Linked DNA regions of Neodiprion lecontei. The protein of the gene in region 1 purifies or fractionates together with the protein of each later gene. This does not show direct contact. Links are inferred from orthologs where the notes say so. Each region holds a gene or a part of one and is shown in the gene's direction. Other genes may lie near its edges.

Region 1 (5,169 bases):
CTTATACTTGATGACACCGAATACTTATGGTATAAATATTTTATCAATAAACCACCCATTTAATCTTAAACACTCTGTTACATATAAAAATATATATATAGAAAGCTTCTCTGCACGGCAGAAAATTCATTGAATAATTGTTCACAGTAACGAAGAATTCAGACGGAAGACAAACGGGCGTTTTTTCGAATATATCATCACTCGAAAAATAATGAATGAAATGTAAGAGCTATAAGTATAATTGTAGATTTTCTCGGCTCACCTCTGCTGGCATTCGCATTAATATAGATTAAAATAACTATCGATCGATATCGGAATCTAACGTTACAATAACGCTTAAATCGTTGTGGATATAAATGGATTACTTCTGTTCGATGGTGATAAATTGTTATTAAGGGATCAAATAACGGTACGGTACGACACGATAAACGATTATACGAGACGTGAGCTATGGATGCGATAATTAAAAATTCAAAAAGTATGTACACTCGAAGTAAAATGATAACGAGGTCTCCGCGAGAGATCAAAGTAAGAATGAAGAGGACCGCGTACGTTGAACGACTGCACGGGGTCAACTCCCAGGGAAGTAGGTCACGGGTGTGTAGGGAGGAAAATAATCTCGCCACTGCAAACACGTATCAGCGTTCCACGACAAGGGTGACAAGGGGACGGGGTTTGAATCCCTGGGAGAATAAAAACGATATTACAAATAAGGGAGTTGCGAATGTTATTGAAAATCAGTAATGTCACGGGAGGATGATAAAATTGATGTATAGTGCACCCAACGAACGAATGGAAGGGGCGCGCATGCAGGGATGGTACAGGGGAAGACTCGTGTGCACAATCTTGAGATATATGAATAAAAAAGATTTTGCCATACCTCTCTTGCCATTACGTCATATCCCTGCAGGTACGGGACCGTCCCACAAGCACTTATTTAAAAGAAGTAGCGGACCGAACGCTGCAGCATTCTGATCGCGCGGTTCTCGGAGATGCCGGGTAGAGGCGGTCTAAACAACGGACCCTAACAAACGGGTCCCTTGGAAACTACATCTACCAGGAAATCCCTCATCCTACTAGGTATCTTACAATTACCCGATCTAAGATTTCACTAACGCATATGGGCCAAATTGTAACAGTGGCTTCCTCCCAGCGGTTACTGCGGCGACTCCTAGTTTTAGATCGATTCTCTCTCCGTGTACGTACGGACACCCTCACCCTCGCCCTCTGCACCCACCTTGCCCTCTTCGCCCTCGCTATATTCCTCCCACTCACTTGCCTCGCGCCCGGCGAAGGTTTCCTCTTCTTCTTCTTTCCTACTCGTATTCGCTTATATTATTCGACTCGCACTCGCCTCCCTGAATACCTGCCTACCCTTAAACAGCCTACGTCTACCCTTACCGAGTATCCTTCTCGTCTTACGCATTAAACTCGCCCGCTCGCTCCCACTCGCGCCCACCCCTGCCTGCCGCACGCCCAGTCGCGCGCTCTCTCGTATTCCGATTTTTCAACGCCTATACTCGCCCACTCGCCGGTCAACCCACGGGAAAGTTCGAACCACGATTCGAACGCCCTCGTAAGACTTCGCCAGCGACGCGCGCCGCGCCATTTAAATGCAAAATGGCGCCCAACTTGGAAAACTGAAGCGCTATCTGTGGTGTTTCCACATAGTTAGCCACTTCTGCAATCGTCAGACCCATGGTTGGAGGAGAGGACCATCTTCAGCTGTTGCTCTCTCTTTCTAATTACGGCTTCAGCTAGCTGCACAGATGGCATAGTCTGTCTGTATTATCTTGTAAGTCTATGGTGTACAAGCCCGATGGCTACAATCTACAATGAGGATGACGGACTTGAGTAAATCCAAGTAATTCTTAGTCTATGATCAGAAGTTGAATATTTCTATTTTTTTTTCATCTGTTAACCTTTTTGCAGCAACGTCTATCTCGTTCCGTTCGCGGTTAAAGGCATGTACCAGTACACGTGTTGAATAAAGAACGGTGGCAACGTTCGCCGCGTAATGTATTTCGGAAGAGGTTGCAGAGTGCCTTGAGAGTACAATTGAAGCCAGGAAACTACCCTTAAAACCAATACAAGATGAGCACTATATTGGAAAAGATCGCCTCGATCGAGGCTGAGGTAACCTATAAATGCGTTAATTTTTGAACAGCTTCGGTGTCCGCATACCCATTCAAATCACTCGACATCCTCTAATAACATGAAACCTCGATTCTCAGATGGCTCGGACCCAAAAAAACAAGGCGACGTCCGGCCACTTGGGTCTTCTTAAGGCAAAGCTAGCCAAACTTAGAAGAGAACTGATCACCCCCAAGGGAGGCGGTGGAGGCGGAGAACAGGGTTTCGAAGTAGCCAAAACCGGTGACGCTAGAATTGGGTTTGTCGGTAAATATTGAAAGCACTCTGATTAACTGCATTCGATAACATCCCGTCTTGCGTTACAACAGGATTTCCATCCGTTGGCAAATCAACCTTGCTCAGCACTCTTGCCGGTGTTTATTCCGAGGTAGCTGCATATGAATTCACTACCCTCACTACCGTCCCTGGTTGCATCAAGTACAAAGGAGCTAAAATTCAGGTTTGCAATTGATAGAGAGTCCGGAATTCTTAAAATTATCCTATCTGGTAATACGAACCAAACAAAACGATAAATATGTCATGAATTTTACATTCCAGCTTCTAGATCTTCCTGGTATTATCGAAGGTGCTAAAGATGGCAAGGGTCGAGGAAGACAGGTTATCGCAGTTGCACGTACATGCAGCCTTATATTTATTGTATTAGATGTTCTCAAGCCTCTTGGTCACAAGAAGCTCATTGAACATGAACTCGAGGGATTCGGTCTGCGGCTGAATAAGCAACCTCCAAATATTACTTTCAGAAAAAAAGATAAGGGTGGAATCAATCTACAAACCATGGTGAGAATTGTGAATTGGTTTCAGTTAGCTAATTTTTCTTGGATTTATGTACAGCGTGGTAGCTGTTGAATTTGTTTAAATTTAACAAAAAAAAAAATCTTGTGTTCAACAGTGCGTACAATCCGAACTCGATTTAGACACCGTAAAATCTATCCTCTCAGAGTACAGGATTCACAATGCGGACATAACTCTCCGCTACGACGCTACTTCGGATGATCTTATTGATGTTATTGAGGGTAATCGTGTCTATGTACCCTGCATTTACCTTCTCAACAAAATAGGTAATTAACTATCATAAATGTCGAGTTGTCGAGAAAAGCTGAGAATGGATCACTGTTGTTACATTGTTATTCAATTATGATCATTATACTGTTTCCCCCCCCCCACAGATCAAATTAGTATCGAGGAGTTGGACGTTATTTACAAAATACCACACTGTGTACCAATCTCTGCCCACCATAAATGGAATTTTGATGATTTACTTGAAAAAATGTGGGAGTACTTGCAACTTGTGAGAATGTACGTATGTGTAGCAAATTTATTATAGTCCTATAAGTGAATTTTAAAAATGACTGTGTTATTATTGTAATATTTACAGTTATACAAAACCAAAAGGCCAGCTTCCTGATTACAACTCGCCAGTTGTATTGAACATCGAGCGAAGATCAGTCGAGGATTTTTGCAACAAACTGCATCGTTCCATTGCTAAAGAGTTCAAATAGTCAGTTTCATTGGTTGTCTTTTTCTAATCTCCGCATTTTCTCTAAGTCGAAGACAATTAACCATAATATATTTAATATTTCAGCGCGCTTGTTTGGGGCTCATCGGTAAAGCACCAGCCTCAAAAAGTTGGAAAAGATCATATCTTATGTGATGAAGATGTTGTACAAGTTGTTAAGAGAGTGTGATTTTAAAAAGTGGAAACATTTCGTGACTACCAACGTGCTGAAGACATAATTACGGATCTGTAAGAAACGATAGGTCCACTTTGATTAGACTATTTTCCGATTATTTCCTTCTAGAGTTTGTCACCTTTCGGAACATCTCGTTGATCATAAATGGGTTCAACGTGAGATGGACTATCTGATGGAAATTACAATTTTTTTTATTATTTTCACAAAATAATTTATCACACAAACATGCATTAAACAAGATCCACGCATATATATATACACATATGTATATATATCTATTTTATGAAAACCGTAACAGAATTTTTTTTCTCTAAAGCGTACAAATTCTTACTGTGTCATTGTTTTCAGTGATGAAGAGCGTTAAATAAATATGGGCTGGTACTAAAAATTAAAGCCTACATCTGCATTTTTCTCCACAATTTCTCAGTTCGACTCTTGAAATTATTGTGTAGTATGTAGCTTATTGTAAACGCATTTAAAAAATAAGAAATTGTCGAAGTATAAACTTATATTACAGATAATACAGTTATAAACAACGAAGGTATATTTCCTGCAATGTCTGTGTTAAATAGGCGTGTTTCAAATGCAGTTAATTCAAAATATCGCGTAGGATTGGGTGCTTGCCTAGACTGAGAAATGCTTGTTACGAAAAAACTTACATTTAAAACAACTTAAACCTGTAGCGCAGTGATGTGCGAGGGTTAAAATTAAAACATATTTATTTACACTTAATATCTATAAAGACTGAAGTATGTAATCCTTCCTCTGTTGATCTAATAATTTTTCCAGATGATCGCATCTCTTCTTTGCTTCATCAATCTCTTTGGCGAATTTCCCTATTGCCAGATCCTTTTGCGTTACTATTAACTTGACCCTACAACAATGAACATGAATGAATATCGGATAAAGTCGATAGAATTAACTATTCCTTACCTGCTATAAAGTTGAGCCATTTGAACATCTCTATTAGAATTATTTTCAGTAAGTTCGCGGTGAAGAGAGGCTATTTTATTCTCCAGTTCTCGTTTTTCCATCTCAATTTCCTTCCTAACAATCTTCTTTGCATCGTCTCTCTCAATCGTCAATTGATCTACGCTCTTGTTGAGAACGAATAAGAATTGTTTGTATTGAGTGCTTATCATATTCCACAACTGATTTCGACAATAACATTACACCTCATACCTGTTTAGAATTACTTAGCTGGATCATACACTGCTGAAGTTTTCCCTCAGTTATTTGAAGCTGCGTCGTAGTCTCTGTGAGGCGTTCCTGCACGGAGGTCACTTTACTTGTCAGCAATTCTTTGCTGTTATTCAAGTCTTGT
Region 2 (4,343 bases), about 32 Mb from region 1:
GAAATTAGGTTTTATTATTTTGAAAAAAGTTAAGCATACACTTAAGGACAAATACCTGTAAGTAGCAAGATCTGGTTCACTAAGGAACTCACGATGTAAAGTTCCGTCAGTCATGTATTTGATACGGGTACGCTGAGAAGTACAGTCTTCAAATCGAATAGCATATCCAACTTCGTTTCCTAATTTAACAGCCATTTCATGTGCAACTCTTGCGGCAACAGACATTGCAGCAACTCTTCTGGGCTGAGTGCAGCCTATGACTTTACTGTCATCAGCAAAACCAGCCTGATATAAATACTGTGGAATCTGAGTTGTTTTGCCAGAACCAGTTTCGCCCTCAATAATTAACACCTGTTCAGACATAACATAAATCTTACAGTAAAAAAAGTACAAGGCAAATGAATGAGAGTAACGTAATACAGATATCAAATTTCACCTGATGATCCCTGATAGCCTGTATCAAGTCATTTTTAAAAGGATATATAGGAAGACTTTTCTGTGTCTCTTCAATGGTAGTTAAAACTTTCATTTCCTTCGGAGGAGAAACAGCTTGTTTCTTATGCTTGGAGCTTCCTGGTATCTGCAGCGCCTGGACAAACTCTACTTCATCTTCCAGCAACAGATCATAATCCTGTTTAGCTGTAAAAAATTAAATATTCCTTAAAAATTATAAATAAGCAAATCTTACTGATAATTGTGAGAAGAATTATTACCTTTTCTATCTTTTGCCCCAAAACGAAATACTGCTGATGACATCTGGTCCGACTCCCATTTGCTTTGCTCAGATTGCGGTGGTTCTGGGTCAACAGTTTCAGGCTCAACAGCATCTTTGCCTCGTTCATGAGGCATGTGATACCTTTGCACCCGTTCCATTTCACGCGCCTTCTCATGCTCTTTGGCAAGCTGAAGTAGCTGCTTTTTATGTTCTCGTTCCCTCTTTTCGCGCTCAGTCAGGCTGTTAAATGAATTTGATTTATAATTTTGAAAATCAATACTTCAATCCAACCAGAAAAGTATTCTACTCCTGTAAAACTCACATCTCATCTCCAAAGAGATATTCATCGTCTAATATGTCAGCCTCGAGCTCAGCTACCTTATCTTCCTTTCGTTTCTCTAAATACTTCCTCCGCGATTCGACGCGAAGTTTAGGAATAAGCTTATCACGAGATTGAGTTTCCATAACCTTAAGTCTCTTGGCTGCTTCCGCTGCAAATTTGATAATATTAAGTGTATGAATGTCACCACTAAGTGATTGTATAAAGCTGATAAAACAACTTAGGACATTTTGCCTAAACTTACCAGCCCCGGATCCAGCTGGTGTAGCAACCTTGCGCACCTTCGTATCATCTTTGGACTTGAGACGTTTGGCAAATTCATCCCTTTCCTTAATATCCCTTTTGCGCCTCTCCTCTTCGCTGTCACTGTCACTGTCTTCTGGCGACGATTGCTTCCTCCTATACTTGCTCATTTTCTGTTTCTAAAATCCTCAACGACTCATCTAGGCTAAGTCCTGAATTATATCACAACGGTTAGTAACTGAAATGAAGGTTGAAGCAGATTATTAAATTTCGATGTTATCGCTGGACAACAGATGAATACTCACTAACAGTTCTGGTAAATGTATGAAAACTGTTTAACGTGCGTATTTTACGGGACCGGGAATGATAATACGATTGTTAAACAACAAACCACGATACAAAAAAACCTGACCACTAATTTGAAATAGTTTGAAATCAGCCATAAAAATCGTGTTTGAGATGCACACACATTCGGGTAAATAAGTTTGCCTTTTGGAACGGTCGAGGAAAACAATAATAATCATAATAAAGTCACAATATAAAAATTGAATAACCCGGGTACATTTTAAAATTACACAATGAAAGTGATGTGTATAACAAATTAGAAAAAGTGCTCAAATCTTAAAAATATCAATTTAGTAATGGATGATATTCAGAAAAATGACAAAAGGACTGAAAATTTTTATTCCGACGCTGCCAACTACTGGTCTAAAGTCCCAGCCACAGAGGATGGAATGTTAGGAGGATTTGGGTTCATTTCGAACACAGATATCGAAGGGTCGGAATTATTTCTAAGATCAGCCTTCAAGGTACGGTATTCAGTCAAATTTACACAAAATTGTGTTTCATAAATATTTTATTGATGCTCGCCACATTGATGCCGAGATACCTAGGAACGTAACCTCAAAATTCAAACCCACATGTGCTTTCGTATAATTTTGGAATCCATCTGAAGGCTGATTCCAAAAATATATTTTGATCTATATTCTGTGATTTCCATATAACGCACGTTTCAGTTAAAAAATCCTCCGAGAAAAGAATATGCTTTAGACTGTGGTTCTGGGATTGGCAGAATATCAAAACATCTACTTACCAAACACTTCAAAAAAGTTGATTTGGTTGAGCAAAATTCCGAGTTTCTAGAAGCAGCAAAAACTTACCTCGCTGGTCGTACAAAAAGAGTTGGGGAATTTTTTCCCATAGGTATGAAAGTAAAAGCCTGAGAATCTTAAATAATTTACATATAATACATGTAATACTTTACAGGATATTACTCTTACAGGTCTGCAAAACTTTTGTCCTGAAGTAGGGAAGTATGATGTCATATGGTGTCAATGGGTTTTAGGACATCTACAAGATAACGATTTTATAAAATTTTTCAGCCACTGTCAGTTAGTAACATTTGCTATTCATATTTTGTTTCAGTATTGTAATTTACAGTGGAAATGAGAATTTACCGTATAATTTACAATGTAAAATAGTAATCTGTAACTTTGTAAAATATATTCAACAGGGCAGGACTCAAAGAGAATGGCGTGGTAATAGTAAAAGAAAATATAACAAGTTCTGAAAACGTTGAAGTTGATACACAGGATTCCTCAGTAACACGCCCACTGAAGGAATTACAACGTTTATTCGATCTGGCTGGATTTTCTTCTGTAAAGGAACAAAAACAATCCAGACTTCCACGAGGTCTTTATCCTGTTTATATGTTCATATTACGACCTAGAAAAATCATACGGAATTCTGTGAGCAATGTACTACAGTAGAAATAAATAGTTCACAATTATCACATAGATCAGTTTAATTCCGACATTGCACACAACAATAAATATATATATATGATGATTGTTAATATTTAATTCTTTGATATGAATGAAATTGTAAAGAAAAACAAGAAAGACCACTTGAAAACCATACACAAGAATAATTTTTAAAAATTTTAACACTTTTTAATTCAATAAAGTTTATACTCAACTGGTTTAATTTTTTCAGATACAAAGTGTCGATTCACTAAATAAAAATATTTCAATACTCTTAAATTTACCATAGTTTAATTTCATTTTGGTCTGATTTTTTCATACATGAAGTGTTGATTCGCTTCCTGCGGCGTTGAGTTTATAACACGCTTTTTTACTGCGTGAAAATGAGCCAAAACATGCATGTATAAATCATTCTCCATCTGCCATACTTGCGAATTTTGAATTTTCTTCACAGTTTCTGGGAGAGGGTCAATTTTTTGGGTAGTTTGTCGTAAGTGGGACTTGCTATCTGAAAAAATTAATTGATTTGAGATTTTTTTAAATTATCACAAACTGTAGTTGCGTTATATTGTAAAGACATTGCCAGTGGATAAAAGTAGTAGACTAGAAAAATTATTAAAAATTTGATTGAATTTTAAAACATGCTATGCTTTACTATTATCAATCCTTAATATCTAACACGTGTCTTACTATGCATAAAGTGATCATAGGCTCCTTTGAAAAATCGTGGTAGTGTAGCCTGAAGAGTTTGTACAAATTCTGGTAATTCTTCTGTGACTCCAACTAGGAGGTAGTGTTTTTCTACATTTCTTTTAGCTTCTGCAACTGCCCATGGATTACCGACTTCCCTTTAATCAATTAAATCATTACATTCAACTAAATATACGTTTGTGATTATAAAAGATAAGAAATTGCACAATAATTCTCAGTCAATTGATTTCCAAGCATATTAAGTGTAAAAACTTCATACCAACAAGCAGGTTCGTGTCCACAGAGGAACGGAACTTGAAGCCACATATTGTTTGGATCACAGTCAGGTTGTCCATGTCTGACGCACTCGTCGAATGTCTGTAAGATGTAAGGTATGTTATCTTCACAAAGGATAATCTTACAAGGAAGAAAGAAGCGGAATATGCTAATTGATAATACCTTGGTGTCGCCATGCTTTTTTCTTATTAAGTGTGGTCGGAAATTATCTCCATATCTTAGAAAGTAGTAATAAGATACGAATCTGTCCAAAGGTTTTCGTAATAAATTTATATACAACGGTGTACGCTTAACT

The links.
Region 2: the proteins of GTP-binding protein 128up (region 1) and N-terminal Xaa-Pro-Lys N-methyltransferase 1 purify together in Homo sapiens (affinity purification with mass spectrometry; 3 studies listed by BioGRID and IntAct, counting the BioPlex papers as one, with this or other methods). This does not show direct contact. The link is inferred for Neodiprion lecontei from reciprocal best matches to the Homo sapiens genes DRG1 and NTMT1.

What each region holds. Positions count from the first base shown.
Region 1 is NC_060261.1:2,391,863-2,397,031, forward strand, and holds GTP-binding protein 128up, read left to right. Parts: upstream 1-1,906; 5' UTR 1,907-2,094; coding exon 2,095-2,136; intron 2,137-2,234; coding exon 2,235-2,400; intron 2,401-2,462; coding exon 2,463-2,593; intron 2,594-2,691; coding exon 2,692-2,931; intron 2,932-3,043; coding exon 3,044-3,212; intron 3,213-3,320; coding exon 3,321-3,450; intron 3,451-3,529; coding exon 3,530-3,652; intron 3,653-3,736; coding exon 3,737-3,839; 3' UTR 3,840-4,577; downstream 4,578-5,169. Other genes in the region: uncharacterized protein DDB_G0272682, read right to left, coding at 263-280; centrosomal protein of 131 kDa, read right to left, coding at 4,581-4,719, 4,779-4,942, 5,028-5,169. UniProt on the Homo sapiens protein: Catalyzes the conversion of GTP to GDP through hydrolysis of the gamma-phosphate bond in GTP. Appears to have an intrinsic GTPase activity that is stimulated by ZC3H15/DFRP1 binding likely by increasing the affinity for the potassium ions.
Region 2 is NC_060261.1:34,123,662-34,128,004, reverse strand, and holds N-terminal Xaa-Pro-Lys N-methyltransferase 1, read left to right. Parts: upstream 1-1,815; 5' UTR 1,816-1,939; coding exon 1,940-2,107; intron 2,108-2,314; coding exon 2,315-2,501; intron 2,502-2,580; coding exon 2,581-2,689; exon of another isoform or gene 2,690-2,811; coding exon 2,812-3,067; 3' UTR 3,068-3,357; downstream 3,358-4,343. Other genes in the region: probable pre-mRNA-splicing factor ATP-dependent RNA helicase mog-4, read right to left, coding at 56-351, 437-639, 714-955, 1,038-1,206, 1,300-1,468; heparin sulfate O-sulfotransferase, read right to left, coding at 3,358-3,569, 3,752-3,909, 4,032-4,129, 4,211-4,343. UniProt on the Homo sapiens protein: Distributive alpha-N-methyltransferase that methylates the N-terminus of target proteins containing the N-terminal motif [Ala/Gly/Pro/Ser]-Pro-Lys when the initiator Met is cleaved.